Arabidopsis thaliana: one gene and its partners. The protein of the gene in region 2 purifies or fractionates together with the protein of the main gene of each other region. This does not show direct contact. Each region holds a gene or a part of one and is shown on either strand. Other genes may lie near its edges.

Region 1 (2,547 bases), about 11 Mb from region 2:
CAAAAATACTATTTAATGAATAAATAAATAATTCGACCAACAAAACCAAGAATAACTAACAATCCTAACCGGGTTCCAATAACCAAAAACACCAAAAATAAAACAAACGAGTTCCTAGATCATCCTCTCTTCCTTGCCATGATTCCACGATCACACTTTATCTTTACCTGTATCAACAACACAATGAGATGCGTAAGTATTATCATAAATACTTAGTGAGGCGATCCTCCCATCTACGAGCTATACACACAAGCAAATAAAAAGGTATAATCACGAATACAATACAAACAAACCAGTCATTGAACAATTCATCCAAAACACATTCACCACACCTACATATCATCACACAAAACAAATCACACAACCCTATCGCTCAGATAAGCTCATGGTCACGCACTCACCTTAACAAATTGATTCTAATAGCAATTAAACCCAGGAGAGACTCTCCTTGCGTCTGAAACAGTCCAGAAACGTCCTACAAAAAGTCCACAACCAAAAGCAACCTTGAAGCAAACTGGACAGGAAAAACCAGAAACAAGCAGTCTCAAAGACGAAACCCTCAAATACAAACTAACCGTTAACTATTCAATCTCTCCGGTGAAATCCTAGCTGCAGACGTCACAAAGCTGACCACAAAATCTCGTGCCGATCGGAAAACAGACGAGACCACGATCTCAGTTTCAATCTCCGCTGGTCCTAATTCGCGTCTGAGAAAACGTGTCTCACGAAACTGCGAATAACTCAACCAATTTGAATCCAAATCCAATTCTGTAAATTGGAGAATAACGATAAAGGACTTGGGAATAACTCTGCCAAATTTCGTTACCTTTTACCACGATTTGATATGACGAAACTGATTTCTCCCAAACCCTAACGATTCTGCTCGTTCTCCTTTTCTCTCTTTTTCTCCTTTATAAAACGAAAAGTGGCTAACCAAAGCCCTAATTTCGAGTTTACTTCTTTTATAGGCATACTCTAAGGTTTCCAATTAACCCAATCAATTAAACCGGATGATTTAAAAACAAACTCTAACTGATTTTCCGGTTCACGGGCGTTACAAAGAGGAAGTTAGAATGATGAAGATGGAAATGAACAAAGAGAGGATGGAAAAGAACAAAGAGAGAAGAAATGAAGATGATAATCGTTTTTTCCTATGGTTGTTCAATCACCATGGCAATTGGAATGTTGTGTCTATAGTAGAAAAAAACTTATTTATCGGTTTTAATTTGGTTTATTTTTGTAATAAATCTTTTCATCTTTGATTCGATATGATGAATCTAATTATGAAGACTAAGTGGGTTCGTATTCTTTTCTTATTACGAGAACATATCAATTACAGTATTGTACGTGGTTTTACAAAGCATAAGGAGATATACAAAAACAAAACAATAAGCATGTTCAAAGTGAATGTTTTGTTCGTCATTAGTATAGCCGGATTAAAAAGTTGCTAACTTGTGCTGTGAGGAGAGTTTTTTTTTTTATATATGTTCACAGGACTAATGACTCGACTTACATTGGGTTGTGATTGTAGTCTTAAGAGGATTTGGAACTAAAGCAGAACCTTAAGCTCTATGTTGAGATGGTTCAGGATCCTAATCCGGACTTGCAGAAGGCTGCTCTTGAGAGTATGAGGTAATTCTTGACTTGATTAGCTTCGGGTTTTCAGATTACTGTCTTTGAAGCTCATAATTTATAAAGTTTTTCTTTCTTTTCTGCTCCTTGTGTTCTACCCTTGTTGGAGTTTTTAATTTTTTTTTGGTTTTGTAGGCAGGAAATCCGAGCTTTAACAAGTTCAATGACTTCAGTTCCCAAACCACTAAAGTTTCTGCGTCCCCAGTATGTAACTCTTAAAGCGTTTCATGAAACAATGGCTGATTCTAATCTCAAGGTATGTCATCATTGATTTCAAGTTATTAACAATTCTTATATTGGTATGGCTTAAAAATTACATTTGCTATGTTTGCAGAAGTACATTTCTGATATCCTGTCTGTCCTGGCCCTTACCACGCTCTACAGATTGCACTATTTCTTGATAACACGAAGGTAGAACTGAGCCTTCTTTAATTCATCTAGTAGTTGTTGTCTGAGTTTGATTTGTTGATTTTGCTTTTGATATGTGATTATTTGATGTCTGCTTTTGATTAGTTGATGTCTGCTTTTGATTATTTGATGTCCGGTTTTGATTATTTGTTGTCTGCTTTTGATTAGTTTATTTGTTTCTCTGTTTAAATGCAATATATTTTTGAGTTGAGATAGCATTACATTAATATTTTAAATGCTTAGAAGAAAGTATTTGTTCTCTATGGTTAAATAAAATTCTAACACCTTTGATCAAAAAAAAAAAAAAAAAAAAAAAAATTCTAACACCTAATACTAACTTGAAGCTTTTAAAAGCTCTCTCTTAGTTATTGCGCTCAAAATTTCTCTGAATTGGTCTAAGCAATAAAAGCTAACTGTTTTTTAACTGTGATAAATGCATGTTAACTAGTGTATTTTGGAGTGGTTTACATTGGGTAAAAGTATTATCATAGTTATGGTCTATTTTAT
Region 2 (8,039 bases):
TCCTCAGCTTTGAAAGAAGAGACAACACTTGTCATAATATTTCAGTTTTCTTCTCTGTTTTTCTTTCATTGTTTGTTCATTCTGCATCAAAGACGTGCAGTTTTTGACAGTCACAAAATTATGATGTTTGTAGGAGTAATTTTTGACCAAAAGAGATTAGAGTGTGGTTTTGTTGAAATGTTTAGTACAAAGCCTTAATCCATAAATACGTGGAATTTATCAAGATTGTTTATTATTGGTCTTATATAATTATGAGATTCTAAAAGTGTGATACGGTTAGGGTTAGGCGTATCCTTTTGTTACCGTTGTGATAAAATTTCCTTTTTGTTTCTGCTACTCAAATAAGAAAAGGAAACAATCAAAATTTCCTTTTTTCATTGAACAAACGTGTACTTATAAATACACCCCTTCTCTCTTCTTCCTTGAGAAAAGTCTCCATTCTCTCTTCTTCTTCCTGGAAACCTAAACCACGTAAGGATTTGCTCTGAATCTAAATATTGACGTGGAGAAGACGCGATCTTACTAATTCTCCATTCTCTGCTTCAACTTCACCGTAAGATTGAACAAACCTTTACTTATATATACCTCTTCTTTCTTGAGAAATCCAAATTCTCCATTCTCTCTTCTTCTTCCAAACCAAAACCTAATTCTCCATTCTCTGCTTCAACTTCACCGTAAGATTGATCGGTTGATAAAGCGGCTCTTTTTGGTGATTGATCTCTGTTGTGACTACATCTTAGGTCAATTCAGATTGCTTTCATATCAAGTCTCTCCTAATTTCACAAGATCAAAGATCCCGGCCATGGATTCAGTTGTCGACGGCGAAGGAGAACACAAACGACGACTAAGGATGCGAAAGTGGGAAAGAGGGATATAACGAAGACATGGACAATGAAAGCAACGAGCAGTATAGAACCAAATCAATGGATCATGATCTGTGTTTGGTACTAGGTGTTTCCTTGGCGTCGACGAGATCTTTTGAAAATCTTGTGTTTCGTCGATATCACAAGCAAAGGTATTTTCTTTTTTCCTTTTCTATTTTTAATGATTCATTTTTTACTAAATAAAAATTTATTTTTAGATTTTTTTATTAAGTGTTAAAATTTTCAATTTTGTGTAAATTAATTTAAATTTTTAACACTTGTTTTTGTTTTTATTAAAAACTGTTTTTAAACCTATATTTTTATACTACTATTAAAGTTTTAAGGTTTTTCTTATTAAATATTAAATTTTTAAATTTTGTGTAAACTAATTGGATACATCATCCAATCCCCTAAGAGGTGTTCTAGGTTCAATAGATGGTTTACACATCATTTAAATTTTTAACACTTGTTTTTTATATTTATTAAATAAATGTTTTTAAACCTAAATTTTTATACTACTATTAAAATTTGAAGTTTTTTTTTATTAAGTGTTGAATTTTTAAATTTTGTGTAAACTAATTGGATACATCATCCAAACCCCTAAGAGGTGTTCTAGGTTCAATATGGTTTACACATTATTTAAATTTTTAACACTTGTTTTTCTTATATCAAAAATATGTTTTAAACCTTTATTTTTATACTACTATTAAAGTTTTAAGTTTTTTTATTAAGTGTTAAATATTTAAATTTGTGTAAGCTAATTGGATACATCATCCAAACCCCTAAATAGTGTTCTAGTTTCAATATGGTTTACACATTATTTAAAGTTTTAACACTTGTTTTCCTTATATTAAAAAATGTTTTAAACCTATATTTTTCTATTACTATTAAGATCTTAAGTTTTTTTTTTAATTTTGTGTAAACTAATTGGATAAATCTTAACTCCTAAGAGGTTAGGTTCAATATGGTTTACATATAATTTAATTTTTCTTATATTAAAAAATGTTTCTATTTTTATTTTACTATTAAGATTTTAAATTTTTTTTTGTTAAGTGTAAAAAATTAAAATTTTGTGTAAACTAATTGAATATAACATTCAAACCTGTAAGAGGTGTTTATAGGTTCAATATGATTTATATATAATTTAAATAGTTTGCTATTTTGTTTAGAATCAAAATATTTTTAAATGACATGTTGTAATAATTGACCAAAAGAAATTAGTGTGTGATTTTGTTGAAATGCAGAGTACAAAGCCTTAATTTATACCAAGTTATGGTATCTATAACGTATATGAATACCAAAATTTTATTATTTTTAATTGGTGTTGTATTTTATAATTCGAAATAATTAGGGGAACGGGCAAAACCTCTCTGTTCTCTCGCTTATATTTTTTTTAGAGAGAAAGCAAATCAGTTTCAACGATCGGATATTTTCTGGTGTTAGCCGTCCTGACTTTTTGGGCTTTCTGTCCGATATCACCGGCTCTGGTAGCGGTGTTGGTTGGCTCTAGTCCGGCAGCGTCTTGTTCACATAACCGGTGGTTGCTGGCTCTTGGTTTCTCTCGTCGATGTAGATCGATTTTTAATCTGTGTTTTTTTATTTTCATGTTTTGTTTTTAATAATTCTCATCTGAGACATGTTGGTGATAGAGTGAATGCAATCTCGCTTTCTAATGCTTCTTATCCGATCTGTTCTTTTTTAAGTTTTGATTTACAGAAATTTTTGGAGAAATTTGAGAATGATGTTGAAGAAAAGAAGTGGATTCTGTTGTTAATTATCATAGCCTTAAGCTGTTGTATATTTAACATGAGCCTCGATTGCTTTTTATCGGTGAAAAAACAAAAAGATCCATGTTCTATGAGACTATCGACGGTGATTCTTTCACCGAAATCGGTGCTCAGACGGCGAAAATGAAGTCGGTTCGCTTTAGAGTACTCATCTGACACGTATATTAATATATCGACATGTGGTTTGGGATAGAGTCAAACTATAGTTTCTTCTTCTATGAAAGACTCTCTGTTGGCCTATTTGGTCCTAAATCGTTTCTGTAATCGCGGACTTTTCTTTAAGCTTTGACTATCTTGATTAATACAATATTTCTCTTGGGACAAAAAAAAAATAATCTTAGTATTTCTTTAATATTTTTTGTTTGGGTATGGGCTATTGGGCCGCTTCGAAAAGTTCACTTTCTCTATCGATCTCTCACAGTTTCTGAGTTCTCTGACTCAAAAACATATAGTAGAAGAAAACGATTAGAGATCTTCTTCTTTCTCCTGTTGCATCTGAAGATAAAGGAAACAGAAAGCGCGAGATCTGAGTGACGGAGTAATTTCAAAGGGAGGTTTTCGAGATCAGAAATGGCGCAACCCCTCGTGAAGAAAGACGATGATCACGACGATGAGTGTATGTGTTCTCTCTTAATCTCCTTATAATTTTCGAATCAGCTGGTTTTCTGCAAAATGTAGATCCAGATGTTAAGCTTCTAGATCTGTTATCATTCAACAGTCGTGATTGTGATTTGGTTGTGTAGATCTACAATCTCAAGTCCGATTTAGTTTTGTTTACCGCATTCGATCCCGGTGTGAATTGCTTTGCTTATTTCGATTTCTGATTTTTTGTTGGATCAGTGGAGTATTCTCCATTCATGGGAATTGAGAAAGGAGCGGTTCTTCAAGAGGCTAGAGTCTTTAATGACCCTCAGGTTGATCCTAGACGATGCTCCCAGGTCATTACGAAGCTTCTTTATTTGCTTAACCAAGGGGAGTCATTCACCAAGGTCAGTTAATTTTTTTGCTTATACTGATTCGATGTCATGCTTATGGAGAATTGAATTATTGTGTTCTTATCCTCTCGCGATGGTTGTTTGTTTCATATGCAGGTTGAAGCAACGGAAGTTTTCTTTTCAGTTACAAAGCTTTTTCAATCAAAAGACACGGGTTTGAGGAGAATGGTCTACTTGATCATTAAGGAGTTATCTCCATCATCTGATGAGGTCTGTAAATTTTACTCAATTTCAATACGAACATCGTCGCACTTATTGTAGGTATATTTTCTGATAAGTTGTTGGTTTTTTCGCCCATAGGTTATCATCGTAACAAGCTCTCTGATGAAGGATATGAATAGTAAAATTGATATGTATCGAGCAAATGCTATCCGTGTCCTCTGCCGGATAATAGACGGAACCCTTCTCACTCAGATTGAGCGATACTTGAAACAAGCCATTGTGGATAAGAATCCCGTTGTTTCAAGTGCAGCTTTAGTCAGTGGGCTTCACTTGCTCAAGGTACCTTTTACACACCAAAACTATTAGGTAGCTTCTTAATTGTAATGTTATGCTTATATTCGTATATTGCTGTTTTCAGACAAACCCAGAAATTGTTAAAAGATGGAGCAATGAAGTTCAAGAAGGTATTCAATCCAGATCAGCCCTTGTTCAGTTCCATGCCCTAGCTTTGCTCCATCAGGTTAGTTTGTTGCATTATTATCACCGAAGTCGATTGGTCTATGTTTCTACTCTTTGTTTAATTAAACAGCCACTGAGAAGAAGTATCTCGGAAAATGAGAGGTGTTACTATGTGTATTGGACTAGATTCATAAATAATAAGTTTTCTGTAGCAGCATCGTAGCTCTTTACTACGGCCTTTTCCAGCAATTTTAGTTTCTTGTGAGGTTTAATCTGTGTCTGGAGTCTGTCTCAGATACTGCTGATTCTAGCATATGTAACTAATTAGGTTGGTTAGGACAACCTATTTATGTGTCTAAGATGTACGAGTTACCAAATGATATGTATTGCTGCTGTTACGTTGATTTAAAATGACTCCCAACATGATACACTCTCAATCTTTGATCTAATAACTGTCAATCTTTGATCAACTTGATAATCTTTCATCATATTCAGATACGCCAAAATGATCGCTTGGCTGTTAGCAAATTGGTTGGTAGCTTGACCAGGGGATCTGTCCGCTCTCCCTTGGCTCAGTGTCTTTTGATACGTTACACCAGCCAGGTTATTCCTCTCTTCTGTTTGATCATTTGATAAGTGGCTGATTGTATATGTGTTATTTAGCTCTGGTTTCTAATATTCAGGTTATCCGTGACATGGCCAACCACGGTCAATCTGGAGAACGTCCGTTCTATGAATTTTTGGAGAGTTGCCTGCGCCATAAGGCAGAAATGGTGATCCTTGAGGCTGCCAGGGCAATTACTGAGCTTGATGGTGTGACAAGCCGAGAACTGACTCCAGCAATCACTGTTCTTCAGCTCTTTTTGAGTTCCCCCAGACCAGTGTTGAGATTTGCCGCTGTCCGGACTCTGAACAAGGTTTGCAATGCTTTCAACTGTTCTCTTTGTACATTGACACCGAAATGATGTTTTACTATTCTGGGTAGATTCATCATTACCTTTATCATGAGGATGAGGAGATATTTCACTGTATACTAAACACAAGTTTGAACCACAGGTTGCAATGACTCATCCTATGGCTGTCACCAACTGCAACATTGATATGGAGAGTTTAATCTCTGATCAAAATAGAAGCATTGCTACACTCGCAATAACCACACTATTGAAAACAGGGAACGAATCAAGTGTAGAACGTTTGATGAAGCAGATAACTAATTTTATGTCAGATATTGCTGATGAGTTCAAAATTGTGGTCGTGGACGCAATAAGATCGTTGTGTGTGAAATTCCCACTGAAATACAGATCCTTGTAAGTAAAGTTTTAGGGTTTGTTATTTGTAGTTTTGGTCTCGAGCATTTCTATTTTTTTGAATGATTAAATATGTTATGGTATCTTTTTAGCATTTGGCTTATGATTGATCTATCACCTTTTCATTTGTAGGATGACCTTCTTAAGCAACATTCTTAGGGAAGAAGGTGGATTTGAGTATAAAAGAGCAATAGTAGATTCTATTGTGACCATTATCAGAGATATTCCGGATGCAAAGGAAAGTGGACTGCTTCATCTATGTGAATTCATTGAAGATTGTGAATTCACATATCTTTCAACACAGGTAATTATTCCATCATCCATCTGGGGTTGCTATTAAAAACTTATGTGTTATTGAAATGTTTATTCTCGCACAGATCCTTCATTTTCTGGGAATTGAGGGGCCTAACACCTCAGATCCAAGCAAGTATATACGATATATATATAATCGTGTGCATCTAGAAAACGCCACTGTCCGGGCTGCTGCTGTTTCCACACTTGCAAAGTTTGGGTTTATGGTTGAATCCTTGAAGGTATAGTCATCATAACAACCATTATTTTTATTTTCCGTTTATCTTCTTTGACTGATGATAATGCTCGACAGCCCCGGATTACTGTTCTATTGAAGCGTTGCATCTATGACAGTGATGATGAGGTGCGTTCCTAGTCTTAGTCTAGAAAAGCATTGCTGTTTCTGTATGTCTGTTTGTTTTGAGTCGTTGCATCATCAAACATGCATGCATGTGTTTGCCTCTGTAAACATTTTCGGATGCATGCAATGCAAGTTGTTTGATGATTCCTTCCTTGCTCATGAGTCAGACATCTTTTTATCTTAAGGTCCGTGATAGGGCAACACTATATTTGAGTGTTCTTGGTGGTGATGGTACTGTTGACACTGATAAAGAGAGCAAGGATTTCCTATTTGGTTCCCTGGAGGTTCCTCTAGTCAACATGGAAACTAGTCTGAAGAATTATGTGAGTTAATCTATTTCTCGGTTTTCTCCTTTTCAATATTCTTAGGACATCAGTTATCTTATATCTGGGATTCCTGCAGGAGCCCTCTGAAGAAGCTTTTGATATCAACTCCGTACCTAAGGAAGTTAAATCTCAGCCCCTTGCAGAGAAGAAAGCCCAGGGTAAAAAGCCCACTGGTCTTGGTGCACCACCAGCTGCACCTGCTTCTGGTTTTGATGGCTATGAAAGACTTCTCTCATCCATTCCAGAGTTTGCCGCCTTTGGAAAACTTTTCAAGGTTAGGGGCTGATTTGTCTTCTGTGTTATTCTAATGTTAATGGCTTATCTTGTTTGCTTTAACTTGTACTTTCTTTTTCAGTCTTCTTTACCTGTGGAGCTAACTGAAGCAGAAACAGAATACGCTGTCAATGTTGTTAAGCATATCTTTGACAGTCATGTGGTGTTTCAGTACAACTGCACTAACACAATACCAGAGCAGTTGTTGGAGAGGGTACTGAACATTGGTGTAGAATATTAGTGTCAAGCATATCTTATCTTTCTTTCCTCATTTAATTAATTTGGCATGGGGTTGTAGGTCAATGTCATTGTAGATGCTTCAGAAGCTGAGGAATTCAGTGAAGTAACTTCAAAGGCCCTAAACTCACTTCCTTACGATTCACCCGGTCAAGCCTTTGTGGTTTTTGAGAAGCCAGCTGGGGTCCCTGCTGTTGGAAAGTTCTCCAACACATTGACTTTCGTTGTTAAGGAGGTACATGTTAAATAGGCTATTCACTTCCATCTTTTTATTTACTTACACTGAAAATGACCCCATAATACTTTGTGGAGAACTCTTATAAACAACGACTCATTTGGAGAGGAGTACCAGAACGACTCAAATTAATCACAGAAAACAAAGAAAACTCTCTAACTACATTGTTTGTGCTTTTATGAATGTGTTAAAACAGGTTGACCCAAGCACAGGTGAAGCAGAAGATGATGGAGTAGAAGATGAGTACCAGCTAGAGGATCTTGAGGTTGTAGCTGGAGATTACATGGTGAAAGTGGGTGTCTCCAATTTCAGGAATGCGTGGGAAAGCATGGATGAAGAAGATGAGCGTGTAGACGAATATGGCCTTGGCCAAAGAGAGAGTTTGGGAGAAGCTGTAAAGGCTGTCATGGATCTTCTTGGCATGCAGACTTGTGAGGTTAGTCTCTTCCACTTTTTTCTCATACTCTACTGAGACTTGAGGGCTAAAATTATTGTTGATAAAGTCTTTTTTGAGTATATGACCATTTGTTGTGTTCCTGAAATTGAAACTGACACTGGATAAATAACAGGGGACGGAGACAATTCCGCTCAATGCAAGGTCACACACGTGTCTATTGTCAGGTGTGTACATAGGCAACGTGAAAGTGTTAGTGAGGGCACAGTTTGGAATGGACAGCTCAAAGGACATTGCAATGAAGCTGACAGTTAGAGCTGAAGACGTTTCTGTCGCCGAGGCCATTCAC
Region 3 (6,872 bases), 1.2 Mb from region 2:
ATCTCCCCTGCTGTGTGTTCAGAGGTTGCTTTCAGAACTATGTGGGCAGAGTTCGAATGGGAAAACAAGGTAATTTATTGAAACCTTTTATAGTTGTACCTTCTTTTCGTATGTTTGTTGGAGTTTGGTATAACCAATTCCTGTTGTATTCTTTATGTCAGGTTGCTGTGAACACCACAATACAAAACGAAAGAGAATTCCTCGACCACATTATCAAATCTACAAACATGAAATGTCTCACTGCTCCGTAAGTGTAAATTCTTCTTTCATCCTGTAGAAACGAAAAACTCTTCTTACTAATTAATACTTCTTTACTTGCAGATCCGCAATAGAAGGCGAATGTGGATTCCTTGCAGCAAACTTATACGCAAAAAGTGTATTTGGTGAGGATGCTCTTGTGAATGTGAGTATTGAGAAGCAAACGGATGGAGCATTGAGTGGTTACATAAGGATAAGGAGCAAGACGCAAGGGATTGCCCTAAGTCTTGGGGACAAAATCACCCTCAAACAAAAGGGTAGTAGCTGAGGTTAGCTAATCTTTTCAAAACATATTCTATTTCTCGATTAATACATGTTTTAATCCTTAAACCGCAATTGGTCTAAATTTCAGTACCATACCGATGATTTCTCACAGTGGCGTGCAAAGGTAACAGGTTTAGACTACGTACGTTTCTCTTGAGCAATTATCGTTGGTTGAATCTGCTTATTATATGGAGGGAGGAGGCGTTCAAGGGTATATGTAAAAAGAGTAATTGGCTATCGTTCTTACTTAACCGGTATATTTTCTGGTATGGTACCGATGGATTTCTTCATCTCATATGGCAGTGTGTTTTTTACTGTACTAGACGATTTTGTTTTATTTGTAATGCTTTTTCTTCTATAATGTCGTTTGTTGAGGACTTTAAACCGTGAACTTTATGATATTGTAGATTTCAAAGCTACATTTGGTTTGCTCCATTTTAGAACTCGTCATTTCAGATTTGATCTCTATTCTTTTCTTTCATATGCATTTGAAGTGAACTATTCAATTGTCAAAGCTAGACTTTAATTTGCTAGTAGCTATATAATACGGGTTATGTTAGCAAGTAAGTTGTAATGAAACGCATGTATTAATATGGACCATATTCAAAATCTACAAGCCAAAGAAACCAATTGCTTCACAACCAAACCCATAACATTTGATTCTTACAGCCTTTTCTATTCTCAAGAAAACCAAGCAATAATTTTTAAGCAAAATTTAATAATCTTAAATCACTTGCCTCAAGGTACCAAGGGACGATCACATACACATTCGCGTAACTAGATATCGCTAACATCATTAGACAAGAAAATACTAGACGCGAGTAGAAGAGGAAAGATCCAAATACATCATCTTCTATCATAAAATCATCCATCTCTAACCGAAAGTTGGAGCACGTTTCAAGGAAAAACTGACATAATTCCTAATTACGCTCACTTTTAAAAGTTTGGGGTCGTTTTGGAAACAATAAAAAAGTAGGGGCTATGCTTTCTCAACTTCTATTGGACTGGGCTTGTCAACAATCAATATTTGGGCCTGCGAGGTTGACTCGCTTCTTTCCGTTCTTCGTTTTCCAAACAGAAGGAAAAAAAACTAAAAAACAAAATCGGATTTGGAGGAGTAAACACAAGGGAAGACGAATCCACGATAATATTAAGGACATTTCATAATCTCTCACTTTGTGCGAGTGTTTTTTTTTCCGAGATCCAAAATCTTCTAACGGATCCAAAGCTTTGTTACTCCGTGGATCTCCTACCTTGAGGTTCGTCTCTATCTGTTAAACTTGCGACTCAGATTTCGTAGAGATCGATCCCACTTTTGCTTTTCCTTTGTGAAAATCTACAATGTTCAATATTCTCTGGCGTTCTTTGCTTGATCTCGTTGAATATTGATCCGATCCCGGTAGGCAAACGATTTTCATGTTTGTGCAGCTGAGTGAGACTGCGAACTATGTAGATTCCATTGTTTGTTCATCAAATCTGGGGAGATATATTGCATTTGTGATATGAACTTTGGTTGATCCGAAGCTTTTTTATTATTCGATTTTATGTTAATGTTTTGGTCGTAGTTGTAGTAAAAGTGATGTGTATTGCTGGATCTGAGGATTTGAATTTGTCAATGTCTTGCATCTTTGGGTCGTTGATTAGACATTACCGAATATTCTTCAGCGATTATGATGCTTTCTCATATACCGTGGATTTGAGAACATAGATGCTTTCTTCATTGTACTGAAATATATGTAGAGAGGTGTAGATTATTATTGCTGAGTAGTATTATGGGGATACTCTGAAACTTCTTGTTTAGAACTTACTCGAGCAGTGATGAAGATACTAGTAAGGTGCTTATACTAACTTAGTAATTAAAAGAAAATTCTTAAAATTTTGGATATATTGATTGTTACCTGTGATCTATACTACTTCATTTTATCTTTAAATCGATTTTCAGTATTTTAGGTTCCTATTCTCTATTCGCTTTGAATTTCTTATGTTAACATAGGTACACTTGTTCTTGCATGATTTTTCCTTTTCATATGAGCTCACAATTTTATTTTATTTTTCACTCTTTGTGCAGCACCTGAAAAGATGGACAAATCTAGTACCATGCTTGTTCACTATGACAAAGGGACTCCAGCAGTTGCTAATGAGATTAAAGAAGCTCTCGAAGGAAATGATGTTGAAGCTAAAGTTGATGCCATGAAGAAGGCAATTATGCTTTTGCTGAATGGTGAAACCATTCCTCAGCTTTTCATTACCATTATAAGATATGTGCTGCCTTCTGAAGACCACACCATCCAAAAGCTTCTGTTGCTGTACCTGGAGCTGATTGAAAAGACAGATTCGAAGGGGAAGGTGTTGCCTGAAATGATTTTGATATGCCAGAATCTTCGTAATAACCTTCAGCATCCGAATGAGTACATCCGTGGAGTGACACTGAGGTTTCTCTGTCGGATGAAGGAGACTGAAATAGTGGAACCTTTGACTCCATCAGTGTTACAAAATCTGGAGCATCGCCATCCATTTGTTCGCAGGAATGCAATTCTGGCAATCATGTCGATATATAAACTTCCACATGGCGACCAACTCTTCGTGGATGCACCTGAAATGATCGAGAAAGTTCTATCAACAGAACAAGATCCTTCTGCCAAGAGAAATGCATTTCTAATGCTCTTTACCTGTGCCGAAGAACGTGCAGTGAATTATCTTCTGAGCAATGTTGACAAGGTTTCAGACTGGAATGAATCACTTCAGATGGTGGTGCTGGAGCTGATTCGAAGTGTGTGTAAGACTAAACCAGCGGAGAAGGGAAAATATATTAAAATTATTATTTCTCTGTTAAGTGCTACTTCTTCTGCAGTTATCTATGAATGTGCTGGGACACTTGTTTCTCTCTCATCTGCCCCTACTGCTATTCGAGCTGCTGCCAACACCTACTGCCAACTTCTTCTTTCTCAGAGTGACAACAATGTGAAGCTTATCTTGCTCGATCGGTTGTATGAGCTTAAGACATTGCACAGAGATATCATGGTTGAGCTGATAATCGATGTGCTCAGAGCACTCTCAAGCCCAAACCTTGATATCCGCAGGAAGACACTTGACATTGCCCTTGACTTGATTACCCATCATAATATTAATGAAGTCGTTCAAATGTTGAAGAAAGAAGTTGTGAAGACACAGAGTGGAGAACTTGAGAAGAATGGAGAGTACAGGCAAATGCTTATTCAAGCCATCCATGCTTGTGCAGTTAAGTTCCCCGAAGTTGCAAGCACAGTGGTCCATCTTCTGATGGATTTCCTGGGAGATAGCAACGTGGCTTCAGCTCTTGACGTGGTTGTTTTCGTTAGAGAGATAATAGAAACAAATCCCAAGTTGAGAGTTTCAATCATCACCAGGTTGTTGGACACGTTCTATCAGATCCGTGCAGGAAAGGTCTGCCCTTGTGCACTTTGGATCATTGGTGAGTATTGCCTATCACTTTCAGAAGTTGAGAGTGGCATTTCAACTATTACACAATGCCTTGGCGAATTACCATTTTACTCTGTTTCTGAGGAGTCTGAGCCAACTGAGACATCAAAGAAGATTCAGCCTACCTCTTCTGCCATGGTGTCCTCTAGAAAGCCAGTTATTCTTGCTGATGGAACTTATGCTACACAAAGCGCAGCCTCTGAAACCACATTCTCCTCGCCTACAGTTGTTCAAGGATCACTGACTTCTGGAAATTTGAGGGCACTCCTTCTAACTGGTGATTTTTTCCTCGGAGCTGTGGTTGCTTGCACGTTGACCAAACTTGTTCTTAGGTTGGAAGAGGTTCAGTCTTCCAAAACTGAAGTAAACAAGACAGTATCACAGGCTTTGCTAATCATGGTTTCTATTTTGCAACTTGGGCAATCTCCTGTTTCTCCACACCCTATTGATAATGATTCGTATGAGCGGATTATGTTGTGCATAAAATTGCTTTGCCATAGGAATGTTGAGATGAAAAAGATATGGTTGGAATCCTGCCGCCAGAGTTTTGTCAAGATGATTTCTGAAAAACAGCTTAGAGAGATGGAGGAACTGAAGGCAAAGACCCAAACAACTCATGCTCAACCGGATGATCTAATTGACTTCTTCCATCTAAAGAGTCGGAAGGTAATATTATTATTTTCTAAGCTTTCCCTCGCTTTATTGTGTGTTCTTTTCCTTATGATTTTCCTTCGCACTCTGTTTAGTTTTTATCTGCTTTCTCTTACAGTTCATATCCGATTTTTTCTCCATTTTTAAAGAAAGATGGCAAAAGTATATAATGGCATGTTATGTTTATTTCTTTTGGTCTGTAGATGAGCTTACTGATGATAAATTTCTTTCAGGGAATGAGTCAACTTGAGTTGGAAGACCAGGTACAAGATGACCTAAAGCGTGCAACTGGAGAATTCACCAAGGACGAGAACGATGCTAACAAACTTAACCGCATTCTTCAACTCACAGGATTCAGTGACCCAGTCTATGCTGAAGCATATGTAACGGTACACCATTATGATATTGCTCTTGAAGTTACAGTAATCAACCGAACCAAGGAAACCCTTCAGAACTTGTGCTTGGAGTTAGCAACCATGGGTGATCTCAAACTTGTTGAGCGTCCTCAGAACTATAGTCTGGCACCTGAAAGAAGCATGCAGATTAAAGCAAACATCAAGGTCTCGTCCACAGAGACAGGAGTCATATTCGGGAACATCGTCTATGAGACATCAAATGTAATGGAGCGCAATGTTGTGGTTCTTAACGACATACACATTGATATCATGGACTATATCTCCCCTGCTGTGTGCTCAGAGGTTGCTTTCAGAACTATGTGGGCAGAGTTTGAATGGGAAAACAAGGTAATTTACCGAAACCTTTTAAAAGTATTACCTTCTTTGTTTGTTTGTTTGTTAGATTTTGGTATAACCATTGCCTGTTGTATTATTCATGTCAGGTTGCTGTGAACACCACAATTCAAAACGAAAGAGAATTCCTCGACCACATTATCAAATCCACAAACATGAAATGTCTCACTGCTCCGTAAGTGTAAATTCTTCTTTCATCCTGTAGAAACGAAAAACTCGTCTTACTAATTAATACTTCTTTACTTGCAGATCTGCAATAGCAGGTGAATGTGGATTCCTTGCAGCAAACTTATATGCAAAAAGTGTGTTTGGTGAGGATGCTCTTGTGAATTTGAGTATTGAGAAGCAAACGGATGGAACATTGAGTGGTTACATAAGGATAAGGAGCAAGACGCAAGGGATTGCTCTAAGTCTTGGAGACAAAATCACCCTCAAACAAAAGGGTGGTAGCTGAGGTTAGCTAATCTTTTGGAAACATTTTCTATCTCTCAATGCAATCCATAAATGTTTGAATCCTTAAACTTTTAATTGGTCTAATTTTCATTACCATAACGATGATTTCTCACAGGCTTGGAATGATAGCGTGCAAGGTAAAAGGTAAAAGGTTTAGGCTACGTTTCTCTCTTGAGCAATTTTTCGTTGGTTGATTCTGTTTACTACATGGAGAGAAGAGTCGTTTAAAGGATATGTAAAGAGTAATTTGTTATTATTCTTCCTAAGCCGGTATATTTTCCGGTATGGTACCGATGGATTCTTCCTCAACCGGCTGTCTTTTTACAGTACTAGACGATTTTGTTTTATTTGTAATACTTTTTCTTCTATAATCTTGTTTATCGAGGAGACTGAACTGTTGAACGCGTTATCAATAGTAGATTTCAAAGTTACATGGGTTTGTTCCATTTTAGACTCGTCATTTCATATACGATCTCTACTTCTGTTTTTTTTTTTCTTGCCTTTCGTGGTTCTCTCTTTTCGCAGAACAAAAGTTTTTCTTTTCCTACTTTTCTTTCGTATGTGACGTAGGACAACATATTGGCAAGATGCTATCCAAAGTCAAGTCTTCCACTACTTATCATTGTCAACGAAACTTCCTCATGTATTCATATTATTGTTTTTAGCAACATGTTGGTTTCTTCGTCATAAATTCATATTATTGTTTGTTAGCGACATGTTTTTGTTTTCTAGTCATATATTCACATTATAGATGTTTACTAAGATAGCTTAAAATATTGTAAACCAGAGGGAATATTAAAGGGACCCGAATATTAAACATCGGACTACTTTCTTTTCTAGTCCAAAAACAAGAGCACTGATACATTTTTATTCGTTAAAATGAGAACATAGTACTCATTAAAACAAAAAGGGATATTGCAATGAAAAATAACCATTGGTCACGCCATATCTACCAGCAGAAACGTCCTAATGATATATATAGCATCAGATGTGTTTCGTTGGTGCAAGAACGAGGTGTTCTTTCTTGTGCATAGCGAG

What was found.
Region 1: the proteins of AT4G34450 (region 2) and AT4G08140 fractionate together in Arabidopsis thaliana (co-fractionation; one large-scale study listed by BioGRID). This does not show direct contact.
Region 3: the proteins of AT4G34450 (region 2) and AT4G31490 fractionate together in Arabidopsis thaliana (co-fractionation; one large-scale study listed by BioGRID). This does not show direct contact.

Annotation. Positions count from the first base shown.
Region 1 is NC_003075.7:5,134,094-5,136,640, forward strand, and holds AT4G08140 (26S proteasome non-ATPase regulatory subunit-like protein), read left to right. Parts: upstream 1-1,579; coding exon 1,580-1,632; intron 1,633-1,767; coding exon 1,768-1,888; intron 1,889-1,966; coding exon 1,967-2,047; downstream 2,048-2,547.
Region 2 is NC_003075.7:16,468,736-16,476,774, forward strand, and holds the start of AT4G34450 (coatomer gamma-2 subunit, putative / gamma-2 coat protein, putative / gamma-2 COP), read left to right. Parts: upstream 1-2,000; 5' UTR 2,001-3,220; coding exon 3,221-3,266; intron 3,267-3,490; coding exon 3,491-3,639; intron 3,640-3,741; coding exon 3,742-3,855; intron 3,856-3,945; coding exon 3,946-4,146; intron 4,147-4,225; coding exon 4,226-4,327; intron 4,328-4,761; coding exon 4,762-4,869; intron 4,870-4,949; coding exon 4,950-5,183; intron 5,184-5,322; coding exon 5,323-5,573; intron 5,574-5,705; coding exon 5,706-5,877; intron 5,878-5,950; coding exon 5,951-6,106; intron 6,107-6,177; coding exon 6,178-6,228; intron 6,229-6,410; coding exon 6,411-6,548; intron 6,549-6,627; coding exon 6,628-6,825; intron 6,826-6,906; coding exon 6,907-7,038; intron 7,039-7,122; coding exon 7,123-7,296; intron 7,297-7,492; coding exon 7,493-7,732; intron 7,733-7,865; coding exon 7,866-8,039. Other genes in the region: PERK5 (Protein kinase superfamily protein), read left to right, coding at 1-13. UniProt on the Arabidopsis thaliana protein: The coatomer is a cytosolic protein complex that binds to dilysine motifs and reversibly associates with Golgi non-clathrin-coated vesicles, which further mediate biosynthetic protein transport from the ER, via the Golgi up to the trans Golgi network.
Region 3 is NC_003075.7:15,266,859-15,273,730, forward strand, and holds AT4G31490 (Coatomer, beta subunit), read left to right. Parts: upstream 1-1,587; 5' UTR 1,588-1,781; exon of another isoform or gene 1,782-2,357; intron 2,358-2,590; 5' UTR 2,591-2,601; coding exon 2,602-4,647; intron 4,648-4,865; coding exon 4,866-5,375; intron 5,376-5,470; coding exon 5,471-5,556; intron 5,557-5,630; coding exon 5,631-5,835; 3' UTR 5,836-5,836; intron 5,837-5,949; 3' UTR 5,950-6,372; downstream 6,373-6,872. Other genes in the region: AT4G31480 (Coatomer, beta subunit), read left to right, coding at 1-69, 162-247, 322-526; CYP83B1 (cytochrome P450, family 83, subfamily B, polypeptide 1), read right to left, coding at 6,819-6,872. UniProt on the Arabidopsis thaliana protein: The coatomer is a cytosolic protein complex that binds to dilysine motifs and reversibly associates with Golgi non-clathrin-coated vesicles, which further mediate biosynthetic protein transport from the ER, via the Golgi up to the trans Golgi network.